Linked DNA regions of Xenopus tropicalis. The main gene of each other region encodes a partner of the protein of the gene in region 2 in a complex. Links are inferred from orthologs where the notes say so. Each region holds a gene or a part of one and is shown on either strand. Other genes may lie near its edges. The genes, in order: tmem231, mks1, tmem237, b9d2, cc2d2a, tmem216 and tctn1.

Evidence for each region.
Region 1: mks1 (region 2) and tmem231 share a complex: the UniProt entries of both Homo sapiens proteins name them as parts of the tectonic-like complex. The link is inferred for Xenopus tropicalis from reciprocal best matches to the Homo sapiens genes MKS1 and TMEM231.
Region 3: mks1 (region 2) and tmem237 share a complex: the UniProt entries of both Homo sapiens proteins name them as parts of the tectonic-like complex. The link is inferred for Xenopus tropicalis from reciprocal best matches to the Homo sapiens genes MKS1 and TMEM237.
Region 4: mks1 (region 2) and b9d2 share a complex: the UniProt entries of both Homo sapiens proteins name them as parts of the tectonic-like complex. The link is inferred for Xenopus tropicalis from reciprocal best matches to the Homo sapiens genes MKS1 and B9D2.
Region 5: mks1 (region 2) and cc2d2a share a complex: the UniProt entries of both Homo sapiens proteins name them as parts of the tectonic-like complex. The link is inferred for Xenopus tropicalis from reciprocal best matches to the Homo sapiens genes MKS1 and CC2D2A.
Region 6: mks1 (region 2) and tmem216 share a complex: the UniProt entries of both Homo sapiens proteins name them as parts of the tectonic-like complex. The link is inferred for Xenopus tropicalis from reciprocal best matches to the Homo sapiens genes MKS1 and TMEM216.
Region 7: mks1 (region 2) and tctn1 share a complex: the UniProt entries of both Homo sapiens proteins name them as parts of the tectonic-like complex. The link is inferred for Xenopus tropicalis from reciprocal best matches to the Homo sapiens genes MKS1 and TCTN1.

Annotation. Positions count from the first base shown.
Region 1 is NC_030680.2:64,234,200-64,236,936, forward strand, and holds the end of tmem231 (transmembrane protein 231), read right to left. Parts: intron 1,589-2,737; coding exon 1,483-1,588; intron 1,269-1,482; coding exon 1,097-1,268; 3' UTR 501-1,096; downstream 1-500. UniProt on the Homo sapiens protein: Transmembrane component of the tectonic-like complex, a complex localized at the transition zone of primary cilia and acting as a barrier that prevents diffusion of transmembrane proteins between the cilia and plasma membranes.
Region 2 is NC_030678.2:41,734,378-41,738,655, reverse strand, and holds the start of mks1 (Meckel syndrome type 1 protein), read right to left. Parts: upstream 2,801-4,278; 5' UTR 2,668-2,800; coding exon 2,591-2,667; intron 2,510-2,590; coding exon 2,394-2,509; intron 831-2,393; coding exon 763-830; intron 1-762. UniProt on the Homo sapiens protein: Component of the tectonic-like complex, a complex localized at the transition zone of primary cilia and acting as a barrier that prevents diffusion of transmembrane proteins between the cilia and plasma membranes.
Region 3 is NC_030685.2:53,792,719-53,796,218, reverse strand, and holds part of tmem237 (transmembrane protein 237), read right to left. Parts: intron 2,370-3,500; coding exon 2,209-2,369; intron 1,711-2,208; coding exon 1,587-1,710; intron 1,496-1,586; coding exon 1,304-1,495; intron 1-1,303. UniProt on the Homo sapiens protein: Component of the transition zone in primary cilia. Required for ciliogenesis.
Region 4 is NC_030684.2:79,325,656-79,329,805, reverse strand, and holds the start of b9d2 (B9 domain-containing protein 2), read left to right. Parts: upstream 1-1,350; 5' UTR 1,351-1,421; coding exon 1,422-1,467; intron 1,468-2,236; coding exon 2,237-2,326; intron 2,327-3,046; coding exon 3,047-3,172; intron 3,173-3,348; coding exon 3,349-3,665; 3' UTR 3,666-4,150. UniProt on the Homo sapiens protein: Component of the tectonic-like complex, a complex localized at the transition zone of primary cilia and acting as a barrier that prevents diffusion of transmembrane proteins between the cilia and plasma membranes.
Region 5 is NC_030677.2:27,909,883-27,912,093, reverse strand, and holds part of cc2d2a (coiled-coil and C2 domain-containing protein 2A), read right to left. Parts: intron 2,041-2,211; coding exon 1,918-2,040; intron 675-1,917; coding exon 616-674; intron 1-615. UniProt on the Homo sapiens protein: Component of the tectonic-like complex, a complex localized at the transition zone of primary cilia and acting as a barrier that prevents diffusion of transmembrane proteins between the cilia and plasma membranes.
Region 6 is NC_030678.2:178,906,072-178,910,013, forward strand, and holds the start of tmem216 (transmembrane protein 216), read left to right. Parts: upstream 1-1,142; 5' UTR 1,143-1,218; coding exon 1,219-1,231; intron 1,232-2,720; coding exon 2,721-2,737; intron 2,738-3,942. UniProt on the Homo sapiens protein: Part of the tectonic-like complex which is required for tissue-specific ciliogenesis and may regulate ciliary membrane composition.
Region 7 is NC_030677.2:162,888,123-162,891,622, reverse strand, and holds part of tctn1 (tectonic-1 precursor), read right to left. Parts: intron 3,221-3,500; coding exon 3,100-3,220; intron 720-3,099; coding exon 601-719; intron 1-600. UniProt on the Homo sapiens protein: Component of the tectonic-like complex, a complex localized at the transition zone of primary cilia and acting as a barrier that prevents diffusion of transmembrane proteins between the cilia and plasma membranes.

The DNA.
Region 1 (2,737 bases), on a different chromosome or scaffold from region 2:
GATAAAGCTTACTTAGTTTTTATCTTTCCTTCTCCTTTAAAGGGGACCTGTCATCGTAAGAAATAATTCCAAATTATTTTCTATCAGATTAGTCAAGCATAATAAACTTTACTTACACAATATAATTATTGTAATTAATTATTTAATTATTTAAATCCTGTTTCCTTCAGTCTTTACACAGTCTTTACACAACTACAGCAAGCAGCCAGGTGCTATTTTAGTAAGGAAAGCTTCGCTTCAACAACAAAATCTTGTTTATGTGCCAGAATGGGGGACCTGATGCCCATGCCCATGCACTGGCTACACAGTTAGATGGTGAGGAGGGAGGGGGAAAGTGATGAGGGTGGCAGTGACATCTACGAAGTGCTGAATGGAAAGTGAAAGTAATTGTCTGCCCCACCTCTATGCCTAATACAATATATGATTTACAGCTGGAATTTTTAAATGCCTTTATAATGGGTTTGGATGTGTTAATAAAAAAAGGAATTTGGATTTTATGTTTCATTTTAACAGGACTTTTATTATACAGCTTTTTATGTTTGGGTGACAGGTCCCCTTTAATAAAAATGAAATATTCAGTTAATAATAACTGAAATATTTGGGAAGACTGAGATATTTTGCAAAACAATTTCTAGCTTCCACAAAAAAATGACTAGGAGCGAAGAAATTTAAGATGGAGTGGTACCAGTAGTATACGGCAATCCAATGTACTGCCAGTGCCACTGGATTTTTAAACCAACACTCTCTTCAGAAAGAAGGAAATATTACCAAAGGAAGTACATTTAGGTTCATTTTTCCAAGAAGATATTATTAAAACATAGCATTAAATGTATGGGCTGTTGAGGCAAGCTTTCACCTCTTGCTTAATTACAACCCTTAGAATTCGCTTAGTGTTATTTGCATGTTTTGTGGGAGTTGAAGTTTATCAGTAACACGTCTGAAATTCCTGCTGTAATAATTCCAACATAGCAAATAGGTTTCCTCTCATGTTCCTGAAAATCCACTTCTTTATCACAGTAAAGAAAGAGAAGTTATTAGAAGTCTTAAGGCCTCAAAAGGCATACCCAAGATCCAGTTTATCATATGGGGTTGGTTATCAGCTCTGATGACTTTTATACAATGATGGTATTGGGCCTGGTACTGTAGTCAAAACTTGATTTTGAAAAACAAATATTTTAATTCTCTCAAATACCCAAAGGAAAATGAGAAGGATACTGACATACTGAATCCATGCATATTTTAGCATTTCCCAGAATCCAGGCACATATGTGGATAATGTTAAGGAATCTTCAAAAGGGACATGTGGCACTAATATTGAAAACAGTAAACAAAATCCCAGGAAATAGAAATCAGAAATAGCCCAAGCACCGGATATAAAAGTAATAGTTTTCTTAATACTTGTAGGCATATGAAATACTCTAGAAGCTGTGCATATGCACAAAGAATTATACTTTTCAAACTTGTACAAGAGTTAAAGGATATGATATTGATTCCACGGGATACCGGATAACAGCTTTTATTACAAATGGATCAGAAGCAGCTCTCCCAACAATCCACAGGGGGTTTGGGGCATTCAGAACTGTGGTCACTGCAACCAGATAACATTAAAAAGTTAACAAACACAAAAAGATGCCTAATACTTTAAGGTAAATAATAACAACTATAATAATGCATAAAATATAAAAATATCTCACAAATCTCTCACAAAACAAACAAATCTGTTGCCAAAAATGATGTTGCCGAAATTTATGTCTATTCTGTATACATACACACAAACACTACAAATATAATGAATATATATATATATATTTTTTTTTATTATTATAACGTTTAATTATGTTTCACATTTGACATACAGCCCCTTTTCTACCCTTTTGTGTTCAAAGCCTCAGGGTTACAACTGTCCTTGTCCACCATACTCTAAGCACTGACCATTTAGCATTGGCTCCCATAATACAGAGCAGTTTAAGATTTCCCGTTAGGCTTGCAAACTCTTCCATTTAAACCAGCACACATATTTATTATCTTACAGTGAATGGTTCGTCAGCAGCTAAGAACAGTTAATGTGCCATTCAGCATGGTAGGGGTCATTTACAACTGCTAGTACAGCAGCAATGCCGCTAATTTCCTTGCAGTAAGTTGCATGAGAAAATTGGGTAAGAAGGTACTTGCTTAGAAAGGTACTTTTTGCACTTCCATATGTTGCTTGGCACTGCTCAATTCTTCCTGCCCAAATCAATTGGCACAGACAGTTATGCCAAAATAGGTGGCACATGTCACTCACACATGCCAAACATTATGGAATATAAATTGTGTGTGGGTGATGTGTTCAACAGTGTTTATGTTCATCTAAAATCTGATCAGTATATACCCTAGTGCTTTTAATGTCCAGTGGATTGGGCAACTTCATAAAAATGTATAGCTATAGATTTTAATATATTTCACATACATTCATTCTCCCAAAAGGCCACACATATACAGTAGTGCATTGTCCATCAAGGAGCAAATAAACTACTAGACAGGGCAAGAGGGATACGTGCTCTAAGCTACTAGTATTAAACATATGAAATCTATTATTTTTAATGCTTAACTTCTGAGATTATCTAGATAAAAGGTCTTTTAATAAAATTAAGCACCATGCTTTAAGAAAGGAATGAGAGAGACATTTATGCTAGCTTATTTAACATCAATTACTAGCAACTGTCATAATTTTAGAGAGAAAAAGTAAATACGTTAC
Region 2 (4,278 bases):
ATTGCCTTTAAAAGAGAAAGGTTTAATCGCTAGGGGTACCAAATTGAAGGCACCTCCAGTAATTGTAATCACTTACCCAATACCACAGGCTGGACATCCTGTTAGCAGAAAACTGCACCGGCTGGGGGTACATCTTCAAAATCTGGGGCTGATGCATGCACACTAGAGTGAAAAGTTGAACTTTAACAAAAAGAAATCCGTCATTTTCACTCTACTGTGCATACGGCAGCCCCAGATTTTGAAGAAAGAAGAAGATAAGAAGAGAAACGCTTACTCACATGTACCCCGAGCTGGTGCAGTTTTCTGCTAACAGGAGCACAAGTCTGGGGTATCATGTAAGTGATTACAATCACTCACTAACATTTGGCACCCCTCCCTGATTGAACCTTTCCTTCTCCTTTAATATAATGTTCAACTGTGCATTTAATTGCATATTCTGTAAGTTCTAGAATAGGAACCCCATATTCCTGCTGTTGCATTAACAGAACAAATCACTAAAAAGGCTCCAGACAATAAGGCATTAAATGTACCAGCATCACTTTTCATAAGGGACCAAAATTTGTAACTTTACTTATAAAGCACCAATTAACATATATGAGATATAGATTGCCTTTAAGCAGCTTACCAGCTGTTTTAGTAACCTGCATTAGATGTGCTATTCATATAGGAAAATATATAAAAATAAATTTGAATTCAGTACTAGGCCACTTACAATTATTTGCTATGGGCTAGTGGGAAGAGAAGGCCAACAAAAGAAATTACCTGGCTATAAAGTTTCTCCTGCCAAGAAATCACCACTTCTTCCTTCTCCTCATTAGGATGAGGCCCCCCTTAAAAGACAAGATCATGACAATTAGGACAACAAAAATAATAAAAACAAAAATGCACAAAATTTGTTAATGTACTAAAGGCTTCTACTTTGTATAGTAGTAGAAACAAGATAAAACATAGTTCTTTCAGACAGATCTTGCAATTGGAGAATTCAGTTATAGTTTCAGGCATAAAGCAGAGCAAGCCATTTTTGGCAGGGAAAGAATTATACATAGCCACAGGAATATCGCCAGGATACTTATATCTGAATAGAAGCCTATCTAGGTGCATGTATTCATACTACATGCAATACTCTTCCAGTTCAGGAATGTGAAGCAAAGAGTCACTGAATGTGAGAAATCCTTGCTCGCTGTTGCCCATTTACACATTCTCTTCTCTGCTGCCTACAGACAGTCAACGTACAACTCACCCCACAGATCACCTTGTACCTGACTCTGTGTTCACAGCTCAGCCTACCTTTTCACCCTACAGACAGCTTGCAGCCAGACACAGCTCACCCTACCCTTCATAGAAATCCAGTAAATTATCCAAATGGCACTTAATACAGCAATGTGCAAACGTAGTTTTATTGGCAATCAAGGCAAATGTTTTAGGGCAACTCTCTTCTTCAAGTGCTAAAAAGTAGTGGAAATACCAAAAAGAGCGCCATACATATATTTACTACAATTTTGCTCCATGCACAGTATTTGGTTTTGTCCTGGATTAAATTTGCCCCTACCCCTCACCCTACAGCCAGCCTGCACCCAGGCACAGCTCACCCTACAACCAGCCTGCGCCCAGACACAGCTCACCCTACAGCTAGCCTGCGCCCAGGCACAGATCACCCTACAGCCAGCCTGCGCCCAGGAAAAGCTCACCCTACAGCCAGCCTGCGCCCAGGCACAGCTCACCCTACAGCCAGCCTGCGCCCAGGCACAGCTCACCCTACAGCCAGCCTGCGCCCAGGCACAGCTCACCCTACAGCCAGCCTGCGCCCAGGCACAGCTCACCCTACAGCCAGCCTGCGCCCAGGCACAGCTCACCCTACAGCCAGCCTGCGCCCAGGCACAGCTCACCCTACAGCCAGCCTGCGCCCAGGCACAGCTCACCCTACAGCCAGCCTGCGCCCAGGCACAGCTCACCCTACAGCCAGCCTGCGCCCAGGCACAGCTCACCCTACAGCCAGCCTGCGCCCAGGCACAGCTCACCCTACAGCCAGCCTGCGCCCAGGCACAGCTCACCCTACAGCCAGCCTGCGCCCAGGCACAGCTCACCCTACAGCCAGCCTGCGCCCAGGCACAGCTCACCCTACAGCCAGCCTGCGCCCAGGCACAGCTCACCCTACAGCCAGCCTGCGCCCAGGCACAGCTCACCCTACAGCCAGCCTGCGCCCAGGCACAGCTCACCCTACAGCCAGCCTGCGCCCAGGCACAGCTCACCCTACAGCCAGCCTGCGCCCAGGCACAGCTCACCCTACAGCCAGCCTGCGCCCAGGCACAGCTCACCCTACAGCCAGCCTGCGCCCAGGCACCATGCAGCCTTAAAAATGAAAGGGAAACACACAATATGGCCGGATCACTCACTGTTCGCCTCTGGGTTGTTGTGCAGCGCCTGTAGTTCGAGTCCTCCTCTATTTGCATCCTCCTCCTGCACCCGCTGTACCAGAGCAATGGCCGGGGTAACCCGCTGCAGAGTCACTCTGAAGACAAATAAGACACTGAGTAACTAGCGCTCCACATGCGAGTAGGGCTGCGAACAACAATAACCCCTTGACACTCACCGAATCCTCAGATTCTTTATGGGGTCCCGGGATCTGTACACTGCCTCCCCAACATCCTGATTCCAGTCTTCCGCCATATTTCAGAAAAGCGCGTCGCAATTGCCTAGGCAACCGAATCGGCAACTCTAATTGGCCACCACGTAACGCGTAGCAGCCGAGATTTAGCGGCGCACTGTAACCTACCGCTGATATCCGTGCGTCATGTCACTGCGCGACTGAGGCTACAAATAGCAAGCGCGATGTGCGTCTAATAGTTTGGGAGCCATAACAGTCCATGTGTCTTGCAAATCTTTTAATATGCGTTAAAATACCTCCAATAATCCAGCTCCTTAAATCAGACAGGTGAATTAGATATCGCCAGTCTGATCTCGCGAGAATGTGACGTCACACCACACAGCTATATATACAGCGTACCTCGGTTATTTCACTACGTGATGCAGTTAAAAACATGGGCTTGCTGTTCGCGGCTTTTATTTTATGTTATATTTATTAATTTTTACTACTAGTCATTTTTCCCGCTCGCACTTTTAATACTTTTGCTGAGGTTACTCTGCTCCTGATATTTAGCCAATAGTGCAGGTCGCTGTATGTGAGGATTCGGGCCATGCTCTTCTCAGTTCAGGGACTTATTTAGCAAATAAAATGGGTGATACGTACCAGCCCTAATCTTTTAGGCTTTTTTTCATGTTGGTATCACAGTAATTGTTAACTCTGGTCTAAGGTTATGTTTTTTGGAAAGTCACGTTTATGTGAAAATTGAGACCATGTTTTTGACAATCTAGGGCTAAAAAGAGTCATTTTTGAGAATAGAATGGGTGAATTACGTGGACAGCATTGGTGTCTGAGGGGCCTAGTGTTTTTGTGAAGACAGACCATATTTTTTAGTTTGGAGACAGAACCAAGGGCTAATTTAGTAAGACTATGGGTCAATTTGACCAAATGGTCAAAGGTTTAGGGTTTATTTTTTTGGTGGTATAAGAGGATCCCAATGTTTGATGTGCAAATTAGGGAAATAATTTTCACAAATTTGTGCCTAAAAGGTTTAGTTATGAGAATATAATGGGTAAAATATATATTTTAGGCTCTTTTTATCAGAGGGTGTCTGGTTTTGTGTAAATAAGGGCTGGATTTCGGTAAAAGGGTGAAATTAACCAAAATAAATAATTTACATTCACTCTGGTCGTAACTTAAAAGTGTGCAGGTTTCCTGTCAGTTCTGCCGCAGAAGGTTCTGGGCCCCAAAAGGGTATTGGTAAGGAGCAGTGCTGGCAGGGGGTTTTCCTGTTTCATGGGGGAGATAAAGAATATATTGGTGAAATATACCATCAGTAATCTGTAGTTGTTAGGCTTTTTTCACAGTGGCATCAGAGGGTCCCAGTATATTTTTAGGTATGGCTACTAGCTTTTTCACAATTTATGAACAGACCAATGGCTAATTTAGGACAAGAAAATGGGTAAACTTGACCAAAACCAATTGAGAGTTTATAGGCTTTTTTTAATCTTTTTTATTTTGGTACTAGAGGATTCCAGTGTTTTAGGTGACAATTTATGGACAAAAAGGGCTAATATAGGAGAAGGTTGTAGTGAGTGACCATCAGAGGGTTCTGATGCTTTTCATGCAAAAGAGGGCGGGAAAAATGAAGTGATCCTTATGTTTTTATTCTGGCAACAGACGACTCTTTATATCAG
Region 3 (3,500 bases), on a different chromosome or scaffold from region 2:
GTCCACATAACAGGGGCAGTTTGCTTATTGCACCTCCCACAGCCATGAACAAATCACCTATTGTGTGCATATTATTAAGAGAGAGATTAAGATCAATACCACAGGTTGCCTTTTGTACAGATACTAAAACTCACAAAATACTTTAGCCATTCTTAAAGCCCATCAGTACAGGATAACGTGTTTCATCACCACATGTATTTCTCAAGCAGAATAGAGGAGCAGATGTGTTTTCTTTCTAAATGCCCTTCTTTAAACCCTATTATTAACTATGTTTAGTTGAAAACAAATACTCTATGACAGGGGCCCCATCCTTTTTTTTTTACCTGTGAGCAAGATTTAAATGTAAAATATGTTGGGGAGCAACGCAAGCATGAAAACATTTCCTAGGGGGTGACCAATAAGGGCTGTGATTGGTTATTTTATAGCCCAATGATGACTGGCAGACTACAGGAGGCTCTGCTTGACAGTACACATGGTCTATGCAACCAAATCTTGTCTTCAAGTCAGAAATTCAAAATGGAAAACCTGCTTTAAAGCCATTGGGAGCAACATGTTGCTGACGAGACACTGGTTGGTGACCACTGCTCCACAGTTAGTTACTCTCCAGTAAGCAAGCTTAATCTAACCAATAAGCAGATAATGAAAAACAGAAAAGGGGAGAATAAGAAGCTATTCACCTAACCGATAATGGGATTTCGAAAGAGGAAAGAAAAAAAAAAAAAAAAAGAAAAAATCCCCAAGACCACACTAAATGGATTGTTCGCTTTCCTCTGTAGACATTTTATAGTTTTATATAGAGGCGGAGGAAAGTGGATCCGCACTTATGCGCACAACCCCTTAGCTTCATTGACAGGGTCAGCATCACAATGTGTGGAGCTACGCAGAGCCAATCTTGGTACAGAAACGCGAATCTATGCATTTTGGTGCCAATATCCACTCTGTGTAGCTCCACACATGTCAACAACAGGCCTTTCAATTAAGCTACAGGGGTGTGCACATAAGAGTGGATCTGCTTTCCTCCGCAGATGTTTTAGATAGAGACAATCTGCTTAGTGTGCCCTTGCACTAAATACCCTTTCATTTAAAATGTAGCGTTACAAAAAGGAGGGCATATAACCAAAGAGGAATCAGTAAATCAGTGAATGTGAGTGGTTTGGAGTTCTTATAGATTACATTTGATATCAGTAAAATATATCTAGAAAGCTAAATGTGTGCCAATATTTATAAAAAGGGCGAAATATTTTGTTTGAGTGTTCCAAAGACCTTTTTTTGAAAATAAAAAACAAAAAAAAACCCCACCTACCTATCAAAAGCTGTAATTGTGCTAAGAACCAACAGGAAATATAAGAAACACTGAGATGGGTAGGCCAAGATCTTGTACGTTTGAAGCAGATTAGGAAGATTTGTCAGTTGGGAGCCAGCAAGAACATAAACAACCACAATATTCCAGACAGCATACCCAGCAAGGAATCCACAGCAAAATAAGCCAACCATCCTGCAATCAATGCAAATTATAAATACAAGTTAGAAATACAAAAACATGCTGGATTTGAATTTTGAAAGCATTTAAACAAAGGTATTTATACCTAAAGATATGGTGTGCTGTAAGGGATACATCCATGCTGGTCCATGTTGGCTTGACGTCAAGGAAAACATCAGTTTGCTCAGTTGTTTTGATAATTTCAGAGCGATCTGCAGCTTGAAACCTACCTAAATATTAAAGGGGGAGCTCATTAATTCCCCACTTACATATCAAAAAGCATTCTGGCAAAACTTAGGGGGAAACCGGTGATTCGTGGCAGCTGTCAGCACTGTATAGCCATTTTAGGGCTATGGTACATGAGATTAGTTGCCCTGTAATCTGATCTACTGTAGGTGACTAATGTCCTGAAAATGCTTTCATACTGACAACAATGTAAATCACCCATGCGAAAGCATACGAGTTACCTGTGCTTCACATAGTAGCAGAAGTTGGCTTACGATGCAACTTGTGGCTACTATGTGGTGCATATGTTTTTCAACCTGCAATTCTTCAGGAAATTATACACCCACAGCCATCTAATCTGTTTATGTGCCAACAAAAAGATCAGTGCAATCTACCAATCCACGCATATGGCCAAAATGCACATGAACACCTTAAGTGGCCTAAAAGCCAAAAAAATAAATCACACAGAAACTAAACCATGCAAGACCTTGACCTGCACTTACGATTCTTTTCCACAAAGAATTTCCCGACTGGCTGGCTAGTTAAAGAAGAAGCAAGGAACGCAGGGTTCTGCTCAGGAATCTTTGTATGTCCATCAGGAATTATGTCTTCGTCCTCAACTCCCAGTTCATTTGGGAATTCCTGCCCCACTGACCGGGTTTTCCTAGTGTAAAAAAAAATAAAAAATTAATACATTATTGCAAAAGAAGCAGTGGGATGAATAAAATAGGTATGCACTGAATAATCCTTATCATTTTTCTATTTGCTGAAGTGCCAAATCCTCATACAAAAATGTGCCAAACTGTATTCAAGCCCTAATTTGCATCTTTAAATTGAAAGTAATAGTGACACATTCCATATATACCAGGAAAATGCCATTATCACTTTAAGGGCAGAGGGAACAGTAAGCAGGTCATCCACTTTCCTTAGTCTGCCTTTTGTACACAGGTGGAGGAAAGCAGATCTCCTGTCATTCGCTCTTTCATGTAGCCCCATTGACAGGTACAGCATCGGCTGCCCCTGCGGCTACACAATAGTACACACATAGTACCTTATATTTAACATTACTTTAAAAGATTTTTATTTTTTGGTGTTACTATTTTATTAAACTAGTCAAGGGGGGAACTAGAGTATTATGAGGAAGTTAGTGTAGACCTGGAAGTGGGATTAGTATGGGGTCATGGGGGAGTGGCATATAGTTTCCCAGTTAAGGAGTTCCCTCTGTTACAAACAAAACAGGCTAATAGTATCTATAGTGCTAATTCTCCATTACGTAATATAAACAGCAGAGAGAAAAGCAGTAAGAGTTGGAGTTTATTGCATGTGCAGAAAATAATAGCAAATTATGATATAATTGTTATCACAGAGACTTGGTGGGATGGAACCTGACTGGGCTGTGCATTTAAATGGTTACACCCTGTTTAGGAGGGACAGAGGAGTTAAAAAGGGTGAAGGAGTTTGTCTGTATGTAAAGCAAGAATTAAAGCCCTGCGCTAGAGAAATTACCAGGGACAGCAATGGGGAAGGCATGGAATTTGGGTAGAGATTTCAGCAGGCTAAAGGGTGAAGCCACACAGGGCTACTACTTGTCATGGCTGCAAAAATAGACAATGCTGATCATTTACTGATAACTGTCTCTATGTGTGTTTTAGCAGGGGCAATTCTAAGTATTGTGTATGGCAGGGTATCTTCTGGTGTTTGGTAGCTGCTACTAAGTAGCTCTGTGTGTTTTCACCCTAAAGGTTACAAAACCAATTGTCATCACTGCAATATATTAACTGGGAAAGGCTTTTTA
Region 4 (4,150 bases), on a different chromosome or scaffold from region 2:
ATAGTATTGTGAACTGCAATGTATTCAAGTACCCTATCTTTCTTTTGGTCTCTATCTGTACCTGTCAGTAACAGTGCACTCTCTCAAAAGAATGCTCTTTTACAAGGAAATGGGCAGAGACAAATGGAGAGATCTGATAAGAAATGCATACTGAGCATGCAGAATAAATCACTCAATGAGAAAGGGGTAAAATGGGGCAAACAGTTATCTTGTGAAGCAACAGACAGGATCTTTTAAAGACACTAAAATAACAGCATATGTTCCGCAAAAATTGGCTCATTACCAGCTTGTCTTGCAGTAAAGCAGCTTTAGCAATCTTTTATAACAAAAATACTAATGTATTTCTTGCATGAATTGGATCAACGACACCTTTTCAGATAGGGATATCCTAAATAAATTCTTCTGCGTTCATGTATCCAAGTATCTCCCTACTTCTTTTAAAATGTAATTAAATATTTTGGCCACTATGTCTGTCATAAAAGTGAATGCGTTTCGTCTGACGCTGCCATTCAAAGTTTCCAGCATTTTAAAAGCTGGGTTCTTTTTGGTTTAAAGGCTTTACATTTGGGGGTGTGACTACAAAGTGGGAGCAGACAAACGCATTTTCAGCATGGCCATGCTAATTCTCATTACACCCCCCTCAGCCACTAACTTGCTGAACTTTAAATGGACGCTAATATGTCTCTTGTATACGTAATGCCTCAGAACCCGACACGACACGACGCCCTATATCTGTTTAAGCAACGTTCCATTACACTATGTTGTATTATAAATCACAGATTGCAGTATTAATAGCTATCGTTTAATCCCAATACTTCGTCTCCCACAGACTATCAGTCTCGATCAGTTTACACATTTCGCCTACAACAGACGTCACTTCCGCCGGTGAACCAATCAGATCTGCTGTATGCAACGGTTGCACAGCAACAGGCGGAGTCTACCAAAGTGAGAATTAGAAGGGGCAAAAAGCTAAGACAAGGAGCCGGTTTTCAGAGGGGGTCCGGTGAGATTTATGTTGCAGTTGTGCGGTTAGGGGAAGCATTTATAGCGGGATGTAAAAGAGGGCGAAAAATATTTAGAGCTAATAAACTGGTAAAGCGCTTACATCTTACCCTACTGCGGTGTTATATACGCAAAGGTAGATATGATTCGCAGGTTGTCGGTATGGAGTCCTGATGATTTTGCACCATCATCCAAATATGTATCGTCAGTAATTTATATGCTCATAGCACACACAATGGCGCCAGTGTAGGGAGTGTAATGGGGGTATTACGTTTTCCAGCAGCTGATAGTTGACAAACAGAGGCTCTTGGCTGATTCTGTAAGTGTAAGCTGTAGGGCCCTCAGTTTAGGGATTCTATTTGTTGATTCTATAGTGCCTTCACTGTCAGTGTTCTATGTAGTTATGAAATTCACTGTACATGAATAGCCACACTCATGAATTACATTACAGCCCAACTTGTGCAGGTATAAGTAGGTTTTTTTTGCTTGATGTTGGTCATTGACCTGGTTAGTTACATATGTAATACACTATGCGGTAATGACAAATAAAATTATGCTTTCAAATTGGTTTTATTGGATGTGTAATGAACAGTTTGGTTATGACATGCCACGTCTTACAGGGCTTATTGCTGGGGGTTAGCTACATATACTAATAATATACGTAGTAATAACACTGCGCTAAAAGTAGGTAATAAATAAAATGTATATGTAATACTAATGTTCCTTCTAAGCTATGCATTTGTGGATATTTAAATTACGATGTCAGGGCACATGCATTAGAACCGCCCTTTTACATTATTGAGGCCACTAGAAAATAATGGGGGATGTCATATCCTTGAAATGTATTAATCATTATATTTTGGAGGGACCACAAAATAAAAAAACCTAAGTAAGGGATGAAAAATAAAGTTTTACTGTAATAAATTGTGGTGCGCAAAAAGAATTTTGTATGTAAAGGCATAATTTAGAATTTTTTTAGACTTGCGCATAGTTTTTATAAAAGTGCTCAAATAGGTTTAGGAAGTAGGCACAAAAGAAAGTTTTTGCACACACAGCCAAGAAAAAAAGGAAAACTTGGTCACTGAGGCTTGTATATTTATATTGGCGTCAGATGGTATAAGAAGTGTAATTTCTAGCTGTTATTGTTTGTTGGACCTACTTCTAATAAAAATTATAATTTAGTTTCTTCACAATAATGATGTAACTGAAATATATTTTACCTTTCCTCCTACAGTAATGGCAGAGGTTCACATCATAGGGCAAATTATTGGGGCTAGTGGCTTCCCCCAACACAGCCTGTTTTGCAAATGGGGAGTACACACAGGTAAGAGTCATCATTTTGCATTTTAAATGGATCTATATATCAATTGTACATAAAAAAAACACAGTTTTGTTTTTTTGTGGAGCTGTACGCTGTTGAAAATGTGGTATATGCATTCAGTTGGCCCCACTTTTATTCTAGTACAGGTATGGGATTCCTTATACGGAAACCCGTTATCCAGAAAGTTCTGAATTATGGAATGCCCGTCTCCCATAGACTCCATTTTAATCAAATAATTCAGAATTTTAAAACAGATTTCCTTTTTCGCTGTAGTAATAAAACAATACCTTGTAATTGATCCCAACTAAGATATAAATAATCCTTATTGGATGCAAAACAATCCCATAGGGTTTAATTAATGTTTTATTGATTCTTTAGTAGATTTAAGCTATGGAGATCCAAATTACCCTTGGTCCCGAGCATTCTGAATAATGGGTCCTATACCTGTAATATATTTTTAAGTTTGTGATGTGAAGAAGAAATATATGCGTCAGGTGACCCCTGTATTTATTCTAGTAATGTGAAGTGAAGGAGAAGGCTGTGTTTGTATAACTTAAAGCCCATTTTTGGCTTTACTTTACATAAACAATATAAAAGAGTCTTAAAGGAAATGTTAATGTTTTGAGAAAATCTTGATATATAAGATACTGGTGTGGCTCTATCTATTATTAACCATATGATATTTCTATTTGTAATAACATCGTTCCCTACCATAACATTTAGGTGGAGCCTGGAAGCTACTTTCTGGGGTTGTGGAAGGCCAGACACAAGTAGATCATCCACAAAATGATGACATGGCATTCTGGTCTCACCCTATTGACATGCACTTTGCTACTAAAGGATTACAAGGTAAAGTATGATAGAATAAAGAATAAAATAAAGAATCTGTTAAAATTATTGTAATCACATTGGAGCCCCTGCACAGGCTCCCAACCCTAACCCTACCCATTCAAATGAACACACTTTACCTACCAAAGGTGCAAAGTACATTATGTACTTTAAATGCTTGTATTTCCCCCACTTAGGTTGGCCAAAACTTCACCTTCAAGTCTGGCATCAGGACACATTTGGTCGTAATGAACTTTATGGTTACAGCTTCCTCCACATCCCTTCCACCCCTGGTACTCACTCATTGCTTAGCCCAACCTGGCGACCCCTGGGAACATGGCAGGAGCAAATATGTCAGATGTTTGTTGGCGGCGGCCCACAACTTAAGTCATCCAGCCTGATTTATGGAGGGTCTGATCGCTACCGTCTGCAAACAGTGGCCATGGGGCAAGTACATCTCCAATTAACGGTCATACTCAGGAACTTTGAACGATACGGGGTGGAGTGTTCTTGATTTTGCAGAGTGCTAAGAACTTGTTCCTGGTTTTCCAAATGATTATTTTTGGTGCCAAGGACATATGCACTGAAATAATCAGCAAGACATTTTATGGAATTACTTGTGAACACCTCAAACAGAATCCTGCTCAGTATTTAATGAGCCCCTTTTCTCAACCCTTCTTAATAAACCTGATACTTCATATCTCTTCTGTACCATAATCTGGTAACATTTATCCTCCTCCCCTTCTACTAACATCTCTTACACTTTCCCAAATTGTCTGTTACTTCTGATATTAGCCATTTTCCTCATTGTATCACTTTTTTACTATCCTTGCTTTGTTTTCAGCCCTGTTATAAAGCACACTCCCTTTCTCTCCTTTCATTTTCATAATACCTCATTCACATCAATCACTTACCAGAATACATTTATATATAAAGTAAATTGAATGTTTTTGTTTTTAAATACTTTTCAGGCTCTTTTGACGATTATCTTAAATCAGT
Region 5 (2,211 bases), on a different chromosome or scaffold from region 2:
ATATATATATATATATATATATATATATATATATATATATATATGTATATATATCTACTGTACATAAATACATATGGTGCATACATACATGGGAAATATCCTGTCACTGAGAGATGATGACATCCCTGTGCCGGTATTACTCTTAATTCAGCCAACAGAGCCCAAACTTATTTCCCCCCAATGAACTCTATATACCGGTAATTAGCTAGAGTAGCACTTAATTTACCCTCTGCACATTATAGAAAAAGGCACAAATGCCCCCCTGTGCTGCAGTGGATAGGATAGGTGCATGTACGGTATGAGTATTAAAGGGTAACTAAGTTTATGGCTAAGATTTATAGTAGTGCATAAAGTTTCTCTACCATTACCTATGGCCTACTGTACTGTACATGCAAGTCACAGTCCCACATTCAGCTGCAGCCCCCTCTCTCCCCCAGTGCCAGTGGGAAGCAGATAAGCACAGTAGGGCCCCAGACTGCAGGGTACACACATTCAGCTGCAGCCCCCTCTCTCCCCCAGTGCCAGTGGGATGCAGATAAGCACAGTAGGGCCCCAGACTGCAGGTTACAGTTGCACATACACATCATTGTACTGTAACAAGAATAAGTCACATACCTGTCTTGCAGTTCAGCGGCCGCTGCCTTGTCTATACGCTGGTACATCAGCTCCTCTGGCTACAAAAAGCAAATGGGCAGTTTTAATTGACAAGGAAGAAACCAATTTACAGCACCTGATTGTGGAACCGGCACAACCCACAGGTGCCCACATCCCCCAGCAAACACCAGATGCCGACTCATCCTATCCTGATAGCAGTAGCAGTTACACAGCCAGGGAATTGGACCATATTGCTCCTTTTTGACACTGAATATAAATGATAAAGGATACAAAAGGGGATTTGTCCTATCCTAGTAGTACAGGGACAAAAGGGTTAACACGCTAGCAGGAGGCAGGCTAATTGAAGAACTGAAAGAGATCCACCCCTTTGGTCCTCCTCTTCCCTGCATTAACCCCTCCTCCAACAGTTCCCATGAGATGTATGTAGGTAGGTAAGTAGAAGCAGGGAGTGAGGGTGGGGGCTACCTGTGCTGCCGTGATGGGACAATGAGAAAAGGATTTATGAGTAAGTATTACTAATCCCCTTTTCTCGGGCAGTACCTAGCCAGCACAGGGACAGATGGGTTAGTCCCAGAGCAGGGATAAAAGGGTGGGATATTATCAAGAAGTTAAGAGGTGCAGGCCTCTAACATGGCAGGTAACAGTTCTTAGTGTGCGGTTACTCCAGGTTGGAGTATGTTGAACTTGTAGCACTGTGTGCATGTGTGTAGGGAGGGCTGTGTTGCTGTTTTGCGCAGTTGGGCTGCTAAGGCACTGTTTAGGAGTGCCGAGTGTGCAGTGACGGGAATGGTTGAGTTGGGATACCCTGGTGATGAGTTGGGATACCCTGGTGATGAGTTGGGATACCCTGGTGATGAGTTGGGATACCCTGGTGATGAGTTGGGATACCCTGGTGATGAGTTGGGATACCCTGGTGATGAGTTGGGATACCCTTGTGATGAGTTGGGATACCCTTGTGATGAGTTGGGATACCCTTGTGATGAGTTGGGATACCCTTGTGATGAGTTGGGATACCCTTGTGATGAGTGATTTTATCCACTGGTATATTTGGAGGCCTTAGCCCCTCTGTGGGCTGGACCATAGAGTACAAATAGTGAGCCTCATTTCCTGAAATTGCCTGTACCAGGGATGTAAAATTTTAGTGCTCATGCGATGTCTAGGTTATGGGGGAGGCACAACGTCCTGGAAGTAGGTGTTGGGCAGAGAGATTAAATAGCAGCCAGAGAGAAGGCGAAAGGGGCCCCAGTCACTAAGGCTTACAATCTAAATGTGAATAAATGAGGCAGAGCAAGCAATCAATACCTGAACACTCGAGAGCCCAGGATGAGGGTAACTTCTGGAAAAGAATGGTTTCCACATATTGGTCCTGCTTGTGTCAAAGGTCATACTCACTGGTGCGTCGTACTGCTGCGTGTTAAACCAAATCTAACAGACAGAAATATTCATCAAACTGAAGGATTCACAACTCCCCACAGCACACATATAGAGTTTGTTAGCACTTCAGTCTCGGGCAAATAAAGTCACTTGCTTGCTTAAGGGCTCTGGCACACGGGGAGATAAGTCGCCCGGGACAAATCTCCCTGTTCGCGGGCGACT
Region 6 (3,942 bases), about 140 Mb from region 2:
GGATCAGGGTGGGAAAAGGGTGGGGATCAGGGTGGGAAAAGGGTGGGGATCAGGGTGGAAAAAGGGTGGGATCAGGGTGGGATCAAGGTGGGGATCAAGGTGGGGATCAAGAAGGAAACAGGGTGGGAAAAGGGTGGGGATCAGGGTGGGAAAATGGTGGGATCAGGGTGGAAAAAGGGTGGGATCAGGGTGGGATCAAGGTGGGGATCAGGGTGGGAAAAGGGTGGGATCAGGGTGAGGATCAAGGTGGGGATCAAGAAGGAAACAGGGTGGGAAAAGGGTGGGGATCAGGGTGGGAAAATGGTGGGATCAGGGTGGGAAAAGGGTGGGGATCAGGGTGGGGATCAAGGTGGGGATCAAGAAGGAAACAGGGTGGGAAAAGGGTGGGGATCACGGTGGGGATCAGTGACCTGTAACTCCGCCCATGTGTTACTAAAAGTAAATATAAAGGGGAAGTTGACCCTTTATTGGGCTATGGGTTCTATAATGAAGTAACTGTGAGTAACATAATTAGGTGAGTAGCAGTGAGACGAGGAAACCGTGGGTGGGAACATCCGGCTCTTGAAGCGAGGGTCTCGCATCTCAGCCCCAATTAATAACGACTGCGCATCACTACTGAGAGACAGCAGCATCGGCCCCCAACTCTCCCACCCTCGCTCCTCTACTGCCCCCCGTGCAGTCATTAGTGCTCATACTGCCTCTTGTGTTTGGAATAACCTCTTCAGTGTTATAAAGGGTTGTCTCCATCTTGCCCTACTGTCTCCATCTTGCCCTACTGTCTCCATCTTGCCCTACTGTCTCCATCTTGCCCTACTGTCCCCATCTTGCCCTACTGTCTCCATCTTGCCCTACTGTCCCCATCTTGCCCTACTGTCCCCATCTTGCCCTACTGTCCCCATCTTGCCCTACTGTCTCCATCTTGCCCTACTGTCCCCATCTTGCCCTACTGTCCCCATCTTGCCCTACTGTCCCCATCTTGCCCTACTGTCTCCATCTTGCCCTACTGTCTCCCTGGGCAGAGGAGCTAGCAATCTAATTTGGCTGCAGGTACACTCTCCATTGAACAGTTCCCAGAAGCCCAGCCAGTCCCAGTTATTTAGTGGCCCTGAATGTTAGGGGGGAAGGCGCTAGGACCCCGCGGCGCACAGGCGGCTCAGGGGGTCACGTGTTGCGGAGGTTTCCAGGGAGTGACGTCACAGGCGTCCTTAGAGCAGCAAGATGGCGCCCAAAGGTAAGCGGGAGGCGAAGCAGCGGATGGAAGAGCGGCCCCCCTGCTCCCTGTAATGGCGCCTGTAAGCGTGGGGCTACTGTGTCCCCTATGCAAGAGGTGCAGCTGATCAGCGGGACTACAACTCCCAGCATCCCCTGCACCCGATGCCGCTACGCTGTCCCCTTACCTGCTGCATAGGGACCCGCACCGCTAGTGTGCAACTACAACTGGGGGGGGGGGGGGGGGGCTGTTAGACCACAATTCCCGGCATCCCCAGAGAAGCAGCGACTTCTCCCTGTTACCCACAATAGCGCACATTCCCCGGGCAGGTGGGTATATTATGGGCAGGTGGGTATATTATGGGCAGGTAAGTGGGTATATTATGGGCAGGTGGGTATATTATGGGCAGGTGGGTATATTACGGGCAGGCGGGTGGGTATATTACGGGCAGGTATGTGGGTATATTACGGGCAGGCGGGTGGGTATATTACGGGCAGGCGGGTGGGTATATTACGGGCAGGCGGGTGGGAATATTACGGGCAGGCGGGTGGGTATATTACGGGCAGGTATGTGGGTATATTACGGCAGGCGGGTGGGTATATTACGGGCAGGCGGGTGGGTATATTACGGGCAGGCGGGTTGGTATATTACGGGCAGGTATGTGGGTATATTACGGGCAGGCGGGTGGGTATATTACGGGCAGGCGGGTGGGTATATTACGGGCAGGTATGTGGGTATATTACGGGCAGGCAGGTGGGTATATTACGGGCAGGCGGGTGGGTATATTACGGGCAGGCGGGTGGGTATATTACGGGCAGGTATGTGGGTATATTACGGGCAGGCGGGTTGGGGTATATTACGGGCAGGCGGGTGGGTATATTACGGGCAGGCGGGTGGGTAATATTACGGGCAGGGGGTGGGAATATTACGGGCAGCGGTGGGTATATTACGGGCAGGCGGGTGGGTATATTGAGGGCAGGCGGGTGGGTATATTACGGGCAGGCGGGTGGGTATATTACGGGCAGGCGGGTGGGTATATTACGGGCAGGTATGTGGGTATATTATGGGCAGGCGGGTGGGTATATTACGGGCAGGCGGGTGGGAATATTACGGGCAGGCGGGTGGGTATATTATGGGCAGGCGGGTGGGTATATTACGGGCAGGCGGGTGGGAATATTACGGGCAGGCGGGTGGGTATATTATGGGCAGGCAGGTGGGTATATTACGGGCAGGTGGGTATATTACGGGCAGGCAGGTGGGTATATTACGGGCAGGCGGGTGGGAATATTACGGGCAGGCGGGTGGGTATATTACGGGCAGGCGGGTGGATATATTACGGGCAGGCGGGTGGGTATATTACGGGCAGGTATGTGGGTATATTATGGGCACCTACAGGGGGAGACCAAACATGGCTGCTCTGAGTGCTGGGAGGGGCCCCCGGCCCCCACTGGGTCTTCTGCTTGGTATCATGTGACTTGTGCTGCCCCCTAACTGTGCGTTTGCTTCCCAGGGAGAAGGCGCGGAGTTGTATCCTTGGCACTTACATAGGTGAGACGGTACCAAGTCACCTGTACAGGTATAGCCTGGCCCCGCCCACTGCTTCTTATATTCCTTTAACAATTCATGGGGGTACATTACCCCTTATAATACATGAGTGATACTCAGAGTTCCCTGTATAACTCAGCCTGCAGCCTTGTGCCTTTATATGGGGGGCACAGAACCCCTCAGTGACTGCTAATATCCTTATCATTTACAGTAGGGGGTACATTATCCCTTATAATACATGAGTGATACTCAGAGTTCCCTGTATAACTCAGCCTGCAGCCTTGTGCCTTTATATGGGGGGCACAGAACCCCTCAGTGACTGCTAATATCCTTATCATTTACAGTAGGGGGTACATTATCCCTTATAATACATGAGTGATACTCAGAGTTCCCTGTATAACTCAGCCTGCAGCCTTGTGCCTTTATATGGGCACAGAACCCCTCAGTGACTGCTAATATCCTTATCATTTACAGTAGGGGGTACATTATCCCTTATAATACATGAGTGATACTCAGAGTTCCCTGTATAACTCAGCCTGCAGCCTTGTGCCTTTATATGGGGGGCACAGAACCCCTCAGTGACTGCTAATATCCTTATCATTTACAGTAGGGGGTACATTATCCCTTATAATACATGAGTGATACTCAGAGTTCCCTGTATAACTCAGCCTGCAGCCTTGTGCCTTTATATGGGGGGCACAGAACCCCTCAGTGACTGCTAATATCCTTATCATTTACAGTAGGGGGTACATTATCCCTTATAATACATGAGTGATACTCAGAGTTCCCTGTATAACTCAGCCTGCAGCCTTGTGCCTTTATATGGGGGGCACAGAACCCCTCAGTGACTGCTAATATCCTTATCATTTACAGTAGGGGGTACAGTATCCCTATAATACATGAGTGATACTCAGAGTTCCCTGTATAACTCAGCCTGCAGCCTTGTGCCTTTATATGGGGGGCACAGAACCCCTCAGTGACTGCTAATATCCTTATCATTTACAGTAGGGGGTACAGTATCCCTTATAATACATGAGTGATACTCAGAGTTCCCTGTATAACTCAGCCTGCAGCCTTGTGCCTTTATATGGGGGGCACAGAACCCCTCAGTGACTGCTAATATCCTTATCATTTACAGTAGGGGGTACAGTATCCCTATAATACATGAGTGATACTCAGAGTGGGAT
Region 7 (3,500 bases), on a different chromosome or scaffold from region 2:
TGAGAATCTGTCCCATGTGGCTTCAACATTAACTCTTAATTTTTAATGCAATAGTAATTTGTATTTATTATTGTAATGGACCACATTTGTTCTATTAATTTACTGTTCTGATGTACAGTGCTGCACACCAGGACTGGCCTTAGTCCAATTAGACCTATTGGGCCCATGGGGGCCCCGCACCAAGTGGAATAAGCACAAAAAGTGGGAACTGCATTCATATTGCTACAGAGTACGCACTGTTTTTTTTTTTTGTATAGTGTGTTTGAGGGACCAATAATCATTGTCTCACACTGTATATAGTATGCTTAGTGTGTCAGTGCCCAGTGCTTGGGGTCCACATTGTGCCATGAACGGTTGGGGGCCAAAGGAACAAGAGAAAGAGAGGTGAAAAGGCAGGGTTAGATCATCAGTCATAGAGCAAGAGGCAGGGACTATTTGCCCACCCAGCCCTGGAACCCTGTGCCAACTGACAACACCTTGTGTAGGGGGCCTGCCAAGATTGTCCCAACTGGTCCCCTATTCCTTTTAAAGCACTGTTTGCTCATATTTGCTTTCATAGCCACAATAATTATTTAGTTAAGAAATAAAAGCGGTACATACAATTGGTTGCTTGGATGCAGAAAATGCTTGGATTAATCTGCTCGACTGTGTTGACAACTCTTTTCGAGGCATTGATCGAGTACTGTACAGTTTCTTGTGTACATAACTGACTGTCTACTCTGGAGGAAAAAAAAATAGATCACAGATAAAAACCAGCTCACATATGGTTTCCCGTATTCTAATCTATTTGAATTGCAAAAAAGTAAACATGCTGCTTAGGACAAACACTAGTGCTAGTAACGGTTGGAAACACAACAGTCAGTGTTTCTGAACTTGCCATCTTAGTGCTAGTGTTCCTCATAAGCAGCAGGTTTCCTATTAAAATGAATGTTACTGGCTGCCAGCAGATACACTACACTTCTGAATTTATAGGGTGTGGCAATCAAAAGCCCTATGTTACATAGGGTGAGATAGTGAAACACAAGTGTATGGGAAGTGTAAGAATAATGGAGGCTGGCAGCTGGAGGTGACAGACAGCGCTATTTAAAAAAAAAAAAGGCATACTGAAAAGATCTAGTATTAAATTCACTATTAGATAGTGTATGCCAGTATCCATTTAATCAAGCATTGTTGGCAGAGATGGGAGGATATATGCATATTTTCTGATGGCAGAAGGAGGTAGCTGTATTTGTATGCACTGGAACAGAAGCATTAAAAATTACTAAATAAAGAGTAATTGGGGTTACTGAAGAAACTGTCCCCTCACAAATCTGCATATTTGTCCCAAATGATCTAATCACCCAATCAAAATCCATTTGGAATTCTGAAGGGATGCCTGCCAAAAACTGTTCTTTTGCATAACGAATAGAAATGCAATTCAAAGCAAGTTTCCAATATACATGAGCAATTTCTTTTTCACTGATTATTTTTAAATATATTTGTGACTGAAAGCATTGTTTTTGTACTCATGACTAGTTCTGACTCTTGAAACGATGTAGCAGAATTCAGTCAGGAACATAGATTCACTAGGAATCACATTTAAGTTGCTCAGAATTACATTTTCATTCATTATGCAAACCATTTAAACAGATCTAATCAGGCATAATGGAACATCAGTGCATTTGATGAACAATTCAATTGGTGTATGCAGTTATCAGTCACTTAAGTGTGGGTCCACAATGATCTTAGGCTGATGCCACATAGGGCTGATTCTCGGCCTGTAAAAAAACACATGCCGAGAATCAGCCCGTCCACTGGCATCAGCCTCCTATCTTGCCTGCACCTGGAAGCATTGTGTTGGCCTGGGTGCAGGCACATGCGGCAGATATTGGCTCAAAATGCGAACTCTTCCGTTTCTTTGCTGATATCCAAAGCATGTACCTGCACCTGGGCCAACACAATGGTTCCAGGCACAGGCAAGATAAGAGGCTATTGCCAGGGGAGGAGCGGATTCTTGGCCTGCATTTTTCCACAGGCCAAGAATCAGCCCCATATGGCATCAGCCTTAAGAATTTACATCCACAGGCACAGTGGGTAACATGCACATTTCCCTGCGCCTATCTATGCAGAGAAATCCCAGACCAGGTCATGCCCTGCCTCAACTGCTCCAAAAGAACAGGTCGCACACATCACTTGCACACAGAATAGGTCACACACATCACCAGAAATGACACGCCAGGAATGATGCCAGACAGACTTCAAAAATATTTAGCGCTCCAAATTGCACTTTGCTCACTGTACTTGTGCACACAAATGAGCCTTCTTCTAACTGCCAAAAAACTGAATCTGTACAACATTTGGAAATGAAATTTGTGCTCAGTGAAGTAATACATTGAAATACAATACTGCCATCTTGTGGTTAAAATGAAACAAAATCTATAGGGATGCACCACTTAAATTGCACTGCGCATTTGCCTGTTAACATCATCAGGTGAATTTGCTGTATCATGAGATACCTAGGGATGCACTACAATCATGCAGGACATTTTTGTTTAATTCTGCCATTAATTTGGGCAGTGAGTTGGTAGTGGCTTAAAAAGAGAAGTGTGGCTATTCCTCACTCAGCTTCACTACAGCACAGATTTCCCCATATCATTCAAAGCCAATAGGACTTAATTTAGACAGCTTGGAAATAGCACTAGCACTGATATATGTGTCACTTTAATGCAAAATATTAGCCCCTCCCCCTTGGGTCGGTGTTCCTGTTAGGGAGAAAACTGCACCAACTAATGGAAAAGATACCTAAGTGCTGCACCAGCATCTCAGTATCTTCTTTCTTTTATCCTTGGGCACTTGGGTACTTGTGCATTTGTAGCAGAGTAGCTCTGCCGGATTTACTTTACGGCATATCTCCCAACATTTGCAAAAAGTGCATCTGTAGCTTGTTAAGATTTCTGGGCTCTCTGCCAAAAGCTAAATTTGAGAAACATTGTATCTTTTTTAGTGTTCCGGGACTACGGCTGAGCTGTTAAAAGAGGGACTGTCCTACAAAAATTGGGACAGTTGGGAGGTATGCTTTGCTGTATGTGCGGGAACAGGGAGTTTCGCAAAGATATTTACGTGACAACAGGAATGGAACATCCAGAAAATAAACTGAAGTCAGAGGTACTGCAGTCAGGGTCACAGCAACAGTTGACATCACACTGGCCCACAAGCAGGTCGCAAACACACAGACTGGCAACTTGATAAGCAAAGAAAAAAAAACAACAAATGCGTTACGGTTAGGGATAAAATGCTGATATTTAACTAACAAATGTATCTTAAAGAGATACTGGCACCAGAAATTAAATTGTTTTTAAAAATATTATAACATTGTCTTTGCATGAGCTTTATAATTTTGCCTTAATTGTATCTGTCTAATGCTGCCATATTTGTGCTGCAATAGTCCATTAGCATTAGAAACTATAACTGACAGGTTGAGAGGGGACAGTCAGGTTGGCAAAAAAGTCAGATTTAGGTAC